Linked DNA regions of Sus scrofa. Each later gene encodes a partner of the first gene's protein in a complex. Links are inferred from orthologs where the notes say so. Each region holds a gene or a part of one and is shown in the gene's direction. Other genes may lie near its edges.

Region 1 (4,584 bases):
GTCTGACTCGAAAACAATGGCGTATTGTTGCCATGGGTCAGGCTTTCGTGGGAATGTGTGTTTGTGTATTTTAAATGGGTTTGGCTGCAAACCGCTGCTAGTGAGGAAGCAGTGTTAGTGGGATGGCCAGGTGACATTTTCAAGATAGAAAAACCTTCACCTGGTAAACCCAGCACACGTAACGCCAAGGCTGGACTTGTGTTTCTGAGACGAGGAGAAAGAAGGCAGCCTGTTAGAAAGGCAGGGGACAGCGACATGCCGGCTGGTTGGTCCTCCGGCCACCGAGCTGCACACGCTTTTGATCTTTCTCCCTCTGAATTCACACTGGAGAGAGACCTTCTCTTTCCTTGTAAAGGGGAGCGTGCCCCCACGTGATGTGACCTGTGACCTGTGACCTACTGCCGTTGAGAACAACGCAGAGGTCGCTGGCCCTTGGCTTCTTCCTGGCAGACCGTCCCCAGAAGCACAGGGCAGACTGGCCAGCAGCTCCCGACCGTCATAGTTTTGGCCAAAGCTGAGAAAACGTGCCCCACAACCTCATCACAAAGACATGTCCTGTCCCCCCACCCAGAGCCTCCTGACCAGCTCACACCCTCCCGTAGAAGCGACTCTGAAGAAACCCAGTTCCTGGGCGGCCCAGTCCGGCCTCTCCCCCCCAGGCCCCCGACGCACAGGCTGATGACAACCCGGGAGCAGTAATTCTGGACTCGGGGGGGCCCTTGAGCCCGCCGACGTCCTGTAGGAACGCTCCTGCCTAAAGCTGCCTGGACATGGGGACCGGCCCTTGGGGTGGGTCTCCCGGGCGCCCTGCAGCCCCCTCCAACCCCTCTCCCTGGCCCTCCCTGCAGGAGTTCTACGAGCATGCCAAGGCTCTGTGGGAGGACGAGGGCGTGCGCGCCTGCTACGAGCGCTCCAACGAGTACCAGCTCATCGACTGCGCCCAGTAGTAAGTGCCCTCCCCGCCCGAGCCCCGCGGGGCACACCCCACACCTCCACTCCCACCGCCCCAAGGTACTTTCTTAGCAGCCAGCCAGGTAGTCTCACCTGCCTTGAGAAGGTTCTAGTCTGATGCATTTATCTTCTAGGGGCCTTCATGGCACGTTTTAGTGCAGCTACGTTATTTTATATAAACACTTAATGCCTGGCAGAGCAAAGTGATAATCACCTGCCATAAAGCCATGGTCGTCGTTAATTAGCTCAAAGTAATTAATTGAGTTGACCTGCAAGCATTTAGAGAGGTGGGACAGCTCTCACACTTCGGATAATGTGGCAATTTTGTATTGTATTTACCGCAACTGAAAAACGTGCCAAAGAGGAATGGTGAGGACAGACATGTGCTGCCCCCGCCCCAACCTCCCCACCGCCCGTAAGGGACCACAGCAGCTGCCAGGGTTCATCTCGCGTGGGCACCATGTTGGATGCCATTTCTTGTCCTTGTTCCTCATTCAAGGGGCCTCCCCTGCCAAGGGGTCCTTGCCCTGTCCTCCTGTCCCTTCAAGGCTCTCTTGCAGTGGGCCTGATGACGCCCAGCCGGGAGGCTGCCTTTAAGACAGCTTGACCACCTGTCTTACCCTGTGCATCGTGCGGTAGACACATGGCCTTCAGAGCCGTGAAAAATATCTCAAAGAGACCCTCTGTTTGCTCGTGTCGCACACATGTACCAAGCGGTCTCAGGCAACGTGCTCTCAAGTTGGACTGTCTTTTCTGACAATACGATAATCCTGTGTCAGCCCCTCGTGTAAGTAACTGAAACGCCAACAATTTGCTTTGGAAAATGTTCAGTAATCAGGACCCAGGGACGAGGCTGGCTCGCCAAAAGCTAAAATCGTGCATTACCCAGGAGCCCCGCGCCTGAGGAACTTGGGGCCACACAAAGCCAGCTCCCCAGAACCCCGTCATCTGCACAGCACCCGAGCTCCTCTTGGGGTCTGCGAAAGCTGTCCACGTCCCTTCACCGGCCCTGCTTTCCCACAGCAAGGGCACTCGATGCTTTTCACTTGTCACCCCTACAGCTATTTTGTGACTTAACACGCAAGCAAACTTGTATATTTTTTCAAGGAACAGAGAAACAGTCCATCTGGGCCGGTCGCCGTGACCCCCACCCCCACCCCTTCTTCAACAAAGTCCCTGATTTTCTCAAAAGTTTGAGCTTAAAGCTGGAAGTGCTAATTATAGTAACACAAAACACATGGAAATCCTGGAATTGTTTGCCTTTTGTTTTCTGGATCCAAGTCAGAAGCACAGGTACAGGATTAGGCAGCTTTGACCACCCCATTCTTAAGAGCCCTGGGGGGGCGGGGCGGGGTGTAACAACTTCATTAATTCAGTTTAGCCAGCTTTCTTTTTTTTTTTTTTCTTTTTTTTTTAAATCGCACACCATTTCAAAAGTTTTTTTTAAAAGTTTTTCGAAAGCCCTATCCACGCATGCCTGCAACTTTATCTGCAAATGGCAGCATGTGCACAGTTTATGGAAAGTTTTAAGGAAACTCCGAGAAAAAGAGAACAGAGCTTGACCCTTTTAAAATGTCTCCTTCCCCGGCCAGCCGCCTCCAGCAGCCCTGCCTTCTTCGTAGCCCGCCTGTTTCTGGCGTAACTGCCTTTAGGTTACGGCCGAGGTCCTGGGGACGTGCCCGTTCCTTAAGGTGCCTGTTTTTATTTGTTGAGCTGGGCTTTGGCTGGCCCCCCTCCAGATGTCTCTCTCACAAGATTTGGTGCTGATGAGCTATTTATAGACCTGTGGTTCGGTTGCCATGGCAACGTGCTGGAGGCCAGGGCGGCTGGGGAGCTATTTCTGGCCTGGTGCTGTAATGTAAGCCTGATTGGGCAAGTTAGTGTATCCTCGAAGCCAGACTCACTTTAAACTGGTGAAAAGGAAAGGGGGGGGGGCACCACCTTATAGAATTTCTTTAAATTTTTCTCGCTTTGATTTTCTTCTCTGATTAGCTCACTTTCCAACACCTCCCATCCCCCCTTCCCCCCCCCCCAAAAGCTGGTTTCCACATTAACTTTCCATGGTAATTACCTCAGTCCAGTCTTTTAAAAGTTATTTTTCCTAACAGTGTGTCCAGTCGGGCAACCCAAGCAAAGAGCCTCCCGACTCTGGGAGGGAGGAAGCATTCTCACCCCTAGACAGCCTTCTCACCCCTGAGACCCCCAGACCCCGCGCCGCCACGGTGCGCGCCCCCTGCCTGCCTGGGGCCCCAAACCTGGATGGCGGTGAGGTGCTTTGAAAGCTTCCTCTCTGGGCTGGTCTGCTTCACGGACCAAGCAGGACGGAAGGGAACTGGTGTCTGTTTCCTGTTCGGTGCGGTGCGGGCCGAGAGGGCCACTTCCTAAAAGGAGAGATACCCTTTCTGAGTTAATCCAGCAATCTCATCTTCATTCGTCCTTTGGGCGAAAAAAATCCTTGCTTCTTTTAAGCGTGCCCTTTTTTTTTTCTTCATTTTTTCAAAAACTCCCTGACATGGAAGTGTACAGTTTTCAAACGACTTGCCGTTTTAGTCAAAGCCAAACAATCTGAGGGTGTACTGTTTTACTCAGGCATTACCCAATGGCACACAGTCAGGCCTGATTTGGGGCCCTGGGCGGATGGATTTGCACAGAGCGAGTCTTTTCAAATTAAAACCAGATCAGATCCCCCCCCCCCAACTGGCCTGTGCTGTACCTGTAGGCCAGGGGTCCTGATTTATCTTAAATCCTATTTGCGCGAACCTTTGTAAGGCATCCGCTTGACCCTAATGAACTTCATGGGATGGTCGTTTTCGCTTAGCTGGACCTTGTGGCTGGGCAGGAATAGTGGGCAAATTGGCCTGAACGTGTGGTCACCCCCGTGTGTCTTTCTTCTGCTCCCAGCTTCCTGGACAAGATTGACGTCATCAAGCAGGCTGACTACGTGCCCAGCGACCAGGTATGCACCCCTTCTCACAGGGCAGAGGATGCAGAGTCTTCTTTCCAAGCCAGTCAGCATTTTTGCTCCAGGTTGGCAATGATTAACACTTGGGTTGGTTTTGGTGAGACCGCTTAATCTGAGACTTTGTTTTAGGACCTGCTCCGCTGCCGCGTCCTGACTTCTGGAATCTTTGAGACCAAGTTCCAGGTGGACAAAGTCAACTTCCAGTAAGTAAACGGTTCCTTTTTTTTAGAAAGAAAAATAGGTTTCTCGAGGTCCCCCCGCAGTGAGCATGGTGGACCATGGTAGCCCTTGTGGTGACCAGGCGTCCTCTCTCTCCTGCAGCATGTTTGACGTCGGTGGCCAGCGTGACGAGCGCCGCAAATGGATCCAATGCTTCAATGGTATGGAAGCCCTGGGCTTCTCCACTCTTTAAGGCTATTTCCCCCCGCCCCCGATGGTTCAGGCTCATGGTCACTCCTAACACTGCATCCTCTTTCTCTCTTGTGCCGAAGATGTGACCGCCATCATTTTCGTGGTCGCCAGCAGCAGCTACAACATGGTCATTCGGGAGGACAACCAGACCAACCGCCTGCAGGAGGCCCTGAACCTCTTCAAGAGCATCTGGAACAACAGGTTTGTGCGGTGACCCCCCGGCGTCCTCCCCACGGAGCTCGAGGCCCTGGATCTGCATG
Region 2 (5,200 bases), on another chromosome or scaffold:
CTCCATATGCTGCAGGTGTGGCCCTAAAAAGAAAAAAAAAAAAAGAATCCCTAGGAGGGGAGCCTGGGAATCCTCATTTTTTTAAATTCCAGTTTGGGGTAAATTATTTATTTATTTGTTTAAAGTATAGCTGATTTACAATGTTCCTTCAGTTGTTGCTGTACAGCAGAGTGACCCAGCCATACATATATATTTTTTCTTTTTTTAATACAATCTTCCATCATGTTTTAACCTGAGACTGTACACAGTTCCCTGTGCTGGGCAATAGGATCTCATTGCTCAGCTACTTTAAATGTAAGAGTTTGCATCTCCTAACCCCAAACTCCCTGTCCATGCCCTTCTCTCCCCGTCCCCCTGGCAAACACAAGTCTGTTCTTCATGCCCACGATCTGTTTCTGTTTTATAGATGGGATCATTTGTGCCATAATTTAGATTCCACATATAAGTGATAGCATATGGCATTTGTCTTTCTCTTTCTGACTTACTTCACGTAGTATGAGAATCTCTAATTGCATCTATGTTGCTGCAAATGGCATTATTTTGTCCTTTTTTATGGCTGAGTAGTATTTCATTGTATAGGAATCCCCATTTTTGAACCCCTACCCTGGGTGATTCAGATTTGCCCTGAAGTTTGTAATTTGCATGGCAGCATTCCAATGGGCCACACTTACTCTTGGTGAGTTTACAAAACCCTCCTCCACTCCACCCTTGCTTCCTGCCAAGTGATGAACAGAATGGAATGGAAAGGAAGGGAGGGGAAAAGGAGGCAGGAGGGGGGAAGGAAGGAACTTGCTCCAAAGTGGGCTCCATTTCAGCTCAGGGTGGGCTGAGAGGGAGCCCCCTGCTCTTTTGCTCTTGGACCCGCAGCAGCAGGCTCTGTGCAGTGGCTGAAGCAGCAGCCACGGTGCCCGAACAGGAAGCGCCCTCTGTGGCTGGTGATGTCAGCTCCGTGAAAGCAGCTGAAGCAGCGGGCTCCTGGGATCAGCCGTGCTGTGAAATTTAGCTGTACCCACAGCTCAGACCCTGAATGTGCATCCCTCCTCAAATCAGAACAGTCCCGCACTGGGTCCCCTCCTGGTGGGCAGGGTCCGTATCAGTCATAGTTTTTATTGTCTGTGATTTATTGAACACTTTCTCTGTTTCGAGGCGATCAGTGATTCTTTATCACAAACATCCATGAGGTCATTTTGATCCCCACTTGACAAAAGAAGGAAAAGAGTCTTAGGTAGGAAACCTGCCCAGGAGTTCCTGTCGCAGCACAGAGGAAACGAACCCTACTGGTAGCCACAAAGATGCGGGTTCCATCCCTGGCCCCGCTCAGTGGGTTAAGCATCCGGTGTTGCCATGAGCTGTGGTGTAGGTCGCAGATGCGGCTCAGATCCTGCAATGCTATGGCTGTGGCATAGGATGGCGGCCACAGAACCTCCATATGTCACAGGAGCCACCCTGAAAAGCAAAAAAACAAAAACAAAAACAAACAAGAAAGAAAGAAAGAAAAAGCAAAGCAAAAAAAAAAAAAAAAAAAAAAAAAAGACAGACAGACAAGAAAGAAAAAGAAAGAAACCCACCCAGTATTTCCCAGCAAGTAACCAGTGAAGCCAGGATTTGATCCCGGGTCTGTTGCCAGAACCTGTCCTCTTAAGAATTACTGAGAGCTTCTCCATTTCTAATTCCCATGACTAAGGGCCTCCCACATGAGTTGTTCGTGATTTCAAAGACAAGAGGTACCCCTCTCTTCCCAGCCCCACATCCTGAGCCTGGGCAGTAAACATGCCCCTTAGTTCATCTGTGCCGGCCAGGGATCCAGCAAATATAAAACAAGCTGCCCTGTCAACTGAGAGCGCTGTGTGTCCAGTCCAGGTCTCTGCTGGGCCTGGCGGCATGTGAGAAACACAGCGCCCTCTGCTGTCCTCTGCTTTCCCAAAGGGGAGACCAAGTGTATGATGGGGTCGGAGCAGTTTGACAACAGCACAAAGCCTCACAGAAAAGCCAGAGCCCTTGGTCGCCGCCCCCCCCCGCCCCCCGCAATCTCACCTCCCACAGTCCACCCTTACTCATTCCTACATCTAACTGTTCCTCAAAAGGCCAAGTTCATTCCCACCTCAGGGCCTTTGCTCGTGCCATCACCTCTGCCAAAAAGACTGGCAGCAGTTTTCCCCAGATCACCAAAGCCTTCCTCCTCCTGGTCACCCAGCTCTCTGATCATGGCCCCCTCCTGCGGGAGGCCCTTCCTGATACCACGTATAAATTAACCACCCCCATCCATCCCTCTCCTTTACTCCATCCTGCTTTATTTCTTTGGGGGTGCTTCACACATTTGAAATATCCTATTCATTATTTGCTTATGTGTTTAAAAAAGTACCTGGCAAACAGCTGACTCTTATGAACACGGGTGAATGAATGGACGCATGAATAAATGAAAGCATGAAACATCTTCCTAAGTGCTTCTGTAACAAGGATCCAGGCACCTAGAGCCAAAGCACCCCCTGGCTTCAGTTAACAAGGGCAGAGACCACAAGAAATCACCCCCTGGTTGGTAACAACTTAACAACCAGCCAGCAGTTATATCCACACACATTGCTGGGCATCGTTCCAAAGCTAAAAAGGCACTAATTGCTTTTATATAAGGAGGTAGAAACTCCATCTCCTTAGGTCCTGATGCTCTGTATTATGGTATCTGTTAATTGTTAATTGTTCCTGCCTCACACAGCCACGGCGGGCTTTCTTCTGCTTGTGTCTGGGATGGTGACAGGTTCCTATACAGAGAAGAGAGGTACCGGGGAAGCATGTGCGTCTGTGCCCATGCATGTGTCTGTCCACGCACGTGTGCACGCGAGTGTCAACGCAGCGATCACTCCAGGAAGGGTTAACTCACAGGAAGGCTGGCTGCGCTCAGGGCCCTGCGCTGGCCCAGGAATGGGGTGGGCCTGGAAGGTGGAGTGGGCTTGGCTCACATCAGCTGCTCTTTCCAAGACAGGAGTGCACATGCTTGCCCAGCCGGACTGAGTGTGCTGAACTCCAGTCCCTTTAAGAATGGCTGCAGAAGCCCGCACCTGGAATTCACTGCCCCACCTCCCTGCCCCGCAGGGCAGGTTGCACTTGGGAGACTCTGCAGTCCGTCTTTAGAGGAATGAGCCGAGCAGGAGCCGTTCACCAGCTCGCCAGCACTTGGGGGAAAGCAGCAGGCAAGGATGGATGTGGTCCACAGCCTTCTTATGAATGGAAGCAACATCACTCCCCCCTGCGAACTGGGGATCGAAAATGAGACGCTTTTCTGTTTGGATCAGCCCCATCCTTCCCAAGGTAGGTGGCAGAGACCATTCTTTTTATGCAGAAAACTATTCAGTTGGGGTGGTGGGGGTGGGGGAGACATCCGTAACGGCAAGGCTGATTGAGCAAAATAGAACCAGGTCCTCGTGAGGCCAGGCTGGATAAAGTCACCTGCTCAGAAGTTTGGATAAGAGGTCAAAAAGCAGGATCGAGTTCAGGGCTCTTATTGTTCCCCCACGGGAGAGCTGGGATTCATGGATAGAACTTGGGGGCACAAAAGGGGTAGGAGGAGGAGCTGAAGGGTGGCCAGAAGGGAGGACAAGTGTCGAAGCTTGGACTTACAAGCATCACAGAAAAGGCGCTGTCACAATCCAGCTGTGGCCTTTTCTCGGGGAAAATCAGTGTGAAGAAGCGATTAAAGCGAAAACTGCTTAGCAGCTAGGGAAGAGAGCAATCCTGATTCACTGGAGGAGCACTGTTCTTAAGAAAAAGTGGTTCCCCGAGGGATCCTTTAACAGACCAACCATTTAAGCCTCGACGACATCGCTCTGTGCTCTCCTCACTTTGTTTCTGCAAAATAGTGTAAGTATGGGGAGAGCTGGGTTCCATGATGTACGCCCTGCAACCCCCCACCCCCCAAAATCGGCAGGACATACGTTTGCTTGGTGGGCTCAGGTTTTAACATCCTGCTCCCACAACCTCCTTCCCTCCGGCTCGTCGGTGCCGGTCGCGGCAGAGTGGCAGCCGGCCGTGCAGATTCTCCTGTACTCGGTGATATTCCTGCTCAGCATCCTGGGGAACACGCTGGTCATTACTGTGCTGATTCGGAACAAGAGGATGAGGACCGTCACCAACATCTTCCTGCTCTCCCTGGCCGTCAGCGACCTCCTGCTCTGCCTCGTCTGCATGCCGTTCAACCTCATCCCCAACCTGCTCAAGGACTTCATCTTTGGGAGTGCCGTCTGCAAGATCACCACCTACTTCATGGGTGAGTAGCTGCTGGTGACGAGTCCTGGAGCTCCCCCAAGACCCCATGCGGCCCCAGACGTTCCCAAACCCCTGACAGCCTCAGGGCAGGAGCCCTGCTGAGGTTTAAAAAAAAAAAAATTCCCTAAGGTTAAAAAAAAAAAAAAAAACCCTAAACACCCGGTTGTGTGGGGCTATGAGTAAGAACAGAGGAGCTGGCTTTGTGAGGATCAGGCCTCCCATCTCCCCCAAAGTCAGTCCCCCGTTTCAGAGGTCTGAGTCTCAGCGTGGGAATAAGTTGGTGAGAAGCCACAGAGGAGATGGCTTTCCTTGCTGCTGTTAGAAAGACAGGTTCCAGCTGCTCTGTCCATTCCTGGAAGGTGTTGATTGTACTCTGAGCTCTACCCACCTTGAGGTGTGGCTGTTGGGGTGGCCAGGGGGGCTGGAAGAGCAGCTCTTCCTGCTGGTGCTCGGACTGTCCTAGGGAACTGGGGCTATTTGAGAATCAGTGTCATCATCAGAGGTTGGATTCCCTTCTCAAGATCCACTTCCCAGCCTGTTTTCCTAGGAGCAGGGATCATCGAGAGAGAGAGAGAGAGAGAGAGAGAGCACGCTCTGCCACTAGGCTGGGAGTTGAATTTGCTCCCGGAGCCTGTGGGTCACTAGGCTGACCTGACCCTGATTTGTTGAGATACACAGCTCTCTGCCTTTGCCCTTCAAAATGACAGTGATGATAAGAACCATCGCAAGAGTTAACATTTTTGAGTACTTTTTTTTTTTTTTGAGTACCAGCTGTCCTACTAATTGCTTTAAGATTTTACTTCCAGGATCATATTTTATCTCCCAACACCCTATGCAGCATATACAGTTAATCATTCTTGTCTCATTGAGAAGGGAAGAGAGGCACAGAGAGGTTACCCATGTGCTCAAGGACACACAGATGGTAAGCCACTGAGCTGACTTG
Region 3 (5,199 bases), on another chromosome or scaffold:
ATAGTCTCTTTAGGTAAAATGAGAAATTGTGTTGTAGGATACCCATGTGTAGAAGCCACAGATAAATGGATGTGCAAAACCAAGCAAAACGGAGCATTTTGGAGGAGTTGGGAGTAAACGAAAATCATTGTTTTAATTTTTGTAAAAGCTTAAAGTTCTTATTGTTCATTTTCTACTTAAATTTTTCATTATTTCAGTAAAAATAGAAAGTATTCTGAATTTTTAAGGTACCATATATTAAATTACCTTGCAAATGTACTTTATAAATCTATATAATTACTTTTAGGAGTTCCTGCTGTGGCTCAGCAGTAACAAACCCAACTAGTATCCATGAGGATGAGGGTTGAATCCCCAGCCCTGCTCAGTAGGTTAAGGATCCAGCATTGCTATGCGCTGAGGTGTAGGTCTCAGAGGTGGCCTGGATCCTGTGTTGCTGTGGCTGTCGTGTAGGCTGGCAGCGACAGCTCGGATTCGACCCCTAGCATGGGAACTTCCATATGCCACAGGTGTGGCCCTAAAAAATAAATAAATAAACCATTACTTGTATTATTTTCAATGAAAGATCTACAAAGGAAGTATAAGAAACCTGTTACATTCCTGTCATATCCTGGAAACCTCAAGGTCAGAAGTCTTGCTTTTATTACAAGATCTTTTCCAACTCTGGTGAGAAATATTTACAAACCTACCAATAGGAATATCTAATGTTCTTCTACAAAAACAGACTCAAGTTGCCATGATTTCAGTTTTGGGGTTTTTTGTCTTTTTTTTTTTTTTTTTTTTTTTTTTTTTTTGCCGTTTCTTGGGCCACTCCCGCGGCATATGGAGGTTCCCAGGCTAGGGGTCGAATCAGAGCTGCAGCCGCCGGCCTCCACCAGAGCCACAGCAATACGGGATCCGAGCCACGTCTGCAACCTACACCACAGCTCACAGCAATGCCGGATCCTTAACCCACTGAGCAAGGCCAGGGATCGAACCTGCAACCTCATGGTTCCTAGTCGGATTTGTCAACCACTGAGCCACGATGGGAACTCCCTTCAGTTTTTTTTTAATTAGGTTAAATTTTTCCATCCCAAATTAATTCCATCCTTGTAGAATACAAGTTTCCCCTTCATTTTTAATTAAAGCTTATGAAGACAAAATTCAAAAGCAATGTCTCAGACTTTTTTATATCTCAAAATTCTGGAAGTTATTTCACTTCATATAAAATCACTTCCAGATTTGTCAAACCCATGTCTTTCTCAAATTTTTAAGTTTCATAAAATTATGGATTTGCCTAAGCCAGTTTGTTCAATGAGTTTTAGCACGTGTAGCAATGTCTGATGGAATCTTCCATTCCAAGAGGAAAATCAAAGGAGAAAAATGGCTCTAAAATAAAATACTTTATAGCTGATCCCATTGGTCCTTTTAAAAAGAAAAAAAAAACTTTACCACGTTGGCTACCTTGGCCCCGCCATCACGGTCGGTCTTTAAGCAATGAACATGCTCTTGATACACCCAAACCCCTCCTCTCCCCCTGCTGGTTTTTCTCCCAGGATGTTGATCACCCCAACCCCATCGACAGCATCCTCTTCCGTCTCACACATCCAAGGATTCATTCTCTCTTTTTGGACCTCTCTTGGAGAACTTATCCATTTTTACCACTGTATTATGTTTTTTATTGCTTTCCCTTCACTCAGTGATAAGCTTCCTGTGGGTTGCAGATGGGTCCTAAATATTTCCCAGCACAGCACCCTAAGAGGATGGTAGATATATGTGGTAACAGAGAAGGGAAGGAAGGAGAGAGTGAATGAATGAATGAATGAAGTTCTAGATATATTTTCTCTTAAATAAAGAGGAAACGTACTTAAATAAATCCTTAAATAAATATTAGCATACAGGTGTAATTAAGATGCAAAGAGAAATGTGAGTTATAAAAATTATACTACATTCAATAATAAAGCACCTTTTAAAACATTTAGGAGACTTCTGTTGCTCAAATATGGATAATGTGCATCCTTCTCATTAAGAAGCTGCTTCCTCATTGGTTTGTGATGAAATATGAGTGCAATTTCCTGTCCCCTCAACAATGTTGGTTTCTCTTCTGGGTACAAGCAGATTTATCTGGCTCCTCGGTTGACAAAATCGTCATCTCAAGAAACATGGGTAAGTGTAAGACTAAAAAATAAACTAAGATGCTAAGTAGGTAACAGACTTTTGAATGATTCTCAGTAATATTTGCAACACATTATCTAGTTGGGGCTGTATGGATGTGGTGATAAAAACTGTTATAAGACAAGGAGAAATAAGGATGACACATGGTTTCTCTGCTTTGAGCAGTAGTGAAGGATGTCAAAATGTAGGTTTAGAAATAGTTAGGTAAAACTATCAAATGACAAAAGAGGAAAGTTTATGCTCACTTTATTTCCTCTTCAGGAAACAGTATGATGGCAAACTGAATTAAGTGGTTGGGGAGAAATGTACCAGCTCCTGGTTATAGAACTATCACACAATGCTCTAGTGATATTTCTTTAAATACAATTAGGAATAATGTGAAATTTGAGAATAATATTTCCCATACTAATAAGTATTTACTAATAATTCTTAATAGGTGATTATCACAGTGTCTGACACATAGTAGAGTCTTAATAAGCAGCTTTTAACTGATACATGAAGGCAAGTATTTCCTATAACCCTTCTTTTCTTCTGATCATTGTCATCTATGGATTGTACTATTTTAAGAGCTGTAGATTATCTTCTTTAGGCATTAGGTAAAAATTAAAATCAGAATAAAAAAAGTATCTAAATTTCTCAACACTGGTTCTAAAAACAGATTTCTCAAAATGTGATTAAAGTAGTCAAGATAATATCTTATGAATAATAAGAGTTATGTCCCATTAAAATCTCAGATTCACACAAATTAATTTAAAACTCTTTATCTGTAGAGTTCAGTATCCTATGTGAAATGTTGCTGTAAAAATTATACTCTGTCTGACTGGCTTCTCTGCTATTCTCTGGATAGGTGGCCAAAGATGATCTCCTATCAGGAAATGTAGGGGACAGCAGACTACCGGTGTTGTCATTAAAGCAGTATCAGTTAATGTGTGTTGAAGTCTTGCCGTGTGCTTGGCACTCAGCTTCATGCATCATCTCATTTAACCCCTACAAGAATTCTATGCAGTGGTTGCTGTCTTATATCTGTGAAAACTGAAACTTTAATAAGAGATGGAGAAACACACATGGTCACAAAACCCCATGGGCTGTTGAGAGCTTTGAGTTTCCTGAGCTCACACAGGTAACCACAAGCCTCCGTAGGCACTGCTTCTGCTGCCCAACCCAGAAAATATCCTGTATCTGTTTCATTAAACTGTTCCATCTTATGGTTGTTTTAGTTAAGGCAGGAAGTATTTCTATAGAGAAAGAAATTTTGGTCCATTGAGAATTTTGTAAATCCTTCTAAGACTAATTTTTCCATATTATCCATCTCATCTCATCTTTGAAAAAAAAAAAAAAGATGTATATTTGTTAAGTAACATGGAAAAAGGAGGAAGGGGTACCTTCCTGCCCATCCCCCTGCTCTCCCAGTCCTGCTTCTTTTTTTATTTTTTTTGTCTTTTGTTGTTGTTGTTGTTGCTATTTCTTGGGCCGCTCCCACGGCATATGGAGGTTCCCAGGCTAGGGGTTGAATTGGAGCTGTAGCCACCGGCCTCCAGAGCCACAGCAACGCAGGATCCGAGCCGCGTCTGCAACCTACACCACAGCTCACGGCAACGCCGGATCGTTAACCCACTGAGCAAGGCCAGGGACGGAACCCGAAACTTCATGATTCCTAGTCGGATTCGTTAACCACTGCGCCACGACGGGAACTCCCCCCAGTCCTGCTTCTAAAGAACATTTTCATGGTTTAAGTGTTCTCCCCCAGACACATGAGCCTAATAATGGATGTGATATCATGCAACCCTCAGAGTTTCATCCTCAGTAGCTTATTCAATTCTTCATGCATCTCAGATATTTCCCTAATGTCATTTTCCTTCTTCATTTATATTCTTTAGAGGTCTCTCTACTGAGGATTTTGGGGGTCAGTGTTCTTTGGCTTGTGCTTTCATTTTGAAATTTAGTTCTATTGGGTACACAATTATGGGATGATATATTCATGGCAATTTGTAATATCAATCCACTGTCTTCTGTTTCTGTTATTATTGCTATTGGAAAGTTCTCTGTTGGTCAAAATTTCATCCTGTCTGTCGGTAGTCCGTTTTTATCTCTCTGGCACTTGTTTCTGCAGTGGTGGGTGGGTGATGTGCAGCTTGACCACAACAAGTCTAAGTCTAGATTTCCATCTGTTTGTTTGTTTTTAATTTTATTTAGGATTTGCTGAGCTTCATGAATCTAAGGATGCCATGTCCTTTGTCACGTCTACACATTTCTTGGTCAGCATCTTTTCAAATATTGCCCCACTCCGACTTTTTTCTGTCCTTATGGAATTTCATTATAAGTATGCAGACCTTTTCACTTTATCCTCCATGTCTGTGGTATTTTTCTATCTCTTTAATATTGATAATTTTGTGTTATTTCTTTTCTTTTCTTTTTTTTTCTTTTCTTTTTTTGTCTTTTTGTCCTTTCCAGGGCTGCACCCGCAGCATATGAAGGTTCCCAGGCTAGGGGTCCAATCGGAGTTAAAGCTGCCAGGCTACTCCATAGCCACAGCAACGCCAGATCCGAGCCACATCTGCAACCTACACCACAGCTCACGGCAACCCTGAATCCTTAACCCACTGAGCAAGGCCAAGGATCGAACCTGCAACCTCATGGTTCCTAGTCAGATTCATTAACCACTGAGCCACAATGGGAACTCCCCAATTTTGTGTTATTTCTTTAGCTCTACTTTCAATGTATTAATTCTCTCCTCAGCTGGAACTAATTAGTTATTTAGTCTCCATGTTGATTTTAAATTTTAAATTATTGTATTTTTTTTTGTTTCTAAAAAGTCTATTTCTGACTTTTTAAAAATATGCCCAGTCATCTTTTATAATCTCTTGCTCCTTACTCATATGTTCAGATTTCTTCTTCTTTCTTCTTTTTTTTTTATTTTATTTTAATTTAGGGCCGCACTCACAGTATATGGAGGTTCCCAGGCTAGGGGTCAAATTGGAGCTTCAGGTACCCACCTAAGCTACAGTCACAGAAATGCTAGGTCCGAGCCACGCCTTCGACCTACACCAC

What was found. Proteins that work in one complex are often made in the same cells at the same time.
Region 2: the proteins of GNAS (region 1) and CCKAR are in contact, whole or in part, in a cryo-EM structure (PDB 7XOV), measured with the Homo sapiens proteins. The link is inferred for Sus scrofa from reciprocal best matches to the Homo sapiens genes GNAS and CCKAR. Residues at the interface, in NP_000507.1 of Homo sapiens: Gln31, Gln35, Arg38, Ala39, His41, Asp215, Val217, Phe219, Asp354, Gly355, Tyr358, Phe376, Cys379, Arg380, Ile383, Gln384, Arg385, His387, Leu388, Gln390, Tyr391, Glu392, Leu393, Leu394; in NP_000721.1 of Homo sapiens: Thr76, Glu138, Arg139, Ala142, Ile143, Cys144, Pro146, Leu147, Gln148, Ser149, Arg150, Val151, Gln153, Thr154, Lys155, Glu235, Leu236, Ser301, Ala303, Asn304, Ala307, Lys308, Arg310, Val311, Met314, Phe372, Met373, Asn374, Lys375, Arg376.
Region 3: the proteins of GNAS (region 1) and GPR65 are in contact, whole or in part, in a cryo-EM structure (PDB 9BHL), measured with the Homo sapiens proteins. The link is inferred for Sus scrofa from reciprocal best matches to the Homo sapiens genes GNAS and GPR65. Residues at the interface, in NP_000507.1 of Homo sapiens: Gln35, Arg38, His41, Val217, Tyr358, Tyr360, Phe376, Asp378, Arg380, Asp381, Ile383, Gln384, Arg385, His387, Leu388, Gln390, Tyr391, Glu392, Leu393, Leu394; in NP_003599.2 of Homo sapiens: Gln42, Glu48, Leu49, Leu53, Asp111, Arg112, Ala115, Val116, Pro119, Leu120, Lys121, Phe123, Arg126, Val206, Ala209, Val210, Asn213, Lys214, Ala215, Thr216, Glu220, Ile224, Leu227, Leu228, Tyr290, Cys291, Thr294, Glu295.

The regions. Positions count from the first base shown.
Region 1 is NC_010459.5:59,047,090-59,051,673, forward strand, and holds part of GNAS (guanine nucleotide-binding protein G(s) subunit alpha), read left to right. Parts: intron 1-848; coding exon 849-946; intron 947-3,852; coding exon 3,853-3,907; intron 3,908-4,042; coding exon 4,043-4,116; intron 4,117-4,234; coding exon 4,235-4,293; intron 4,294-4,404; coding exon 4,405-4,525; intron 4,526-4,584. UniProt on the Homo sapiens protein: Guanine nucleotide-binding proteins (G proteins) function as transducers in numerous signaling pathways controlled by G protein-coupled receptors (GPCRs).
Region 2 is NC_010450.4:20,197,122-20,202,321, reverse strand, and holds the start of CCKAR (cholecystokinin receptor type A), read left to right. Parts: upstream 1-2,048; 5' UTR 2,049-3,191; coding exon of another isoform or gene 3,192-3,303; exon of another isoform or gene 3,304-3,708; 5' UTR 3,709-3,858; coding exon 3,859-4,258; intron 4,259-5,200. UniProt on the Homo sapiens protein: Receptor for cholecystokinin. Mediates pancreatic growth and enzyme secretion, smooth muscle contraction of the gall bladder and stomach. Has a 1000-fold higher affinity for CCK rather than for gastrin.
Region 3 is NC_010449.5:109,976,866-109,982,064, forward strand, and holds the start of GPR65 (psychosine receptor), read left to right. Parts: upstream 1-2,047; 5' UTR 2,048-2,142; intron 2,143-5,199. UniProt on the Homo sapiens protein: Proton-sensing G-protein coupled receptor activated by extracellular pH, which is required to monitor pH changes and generate adaptive reactions. Activated by an optimal pH of 7.4.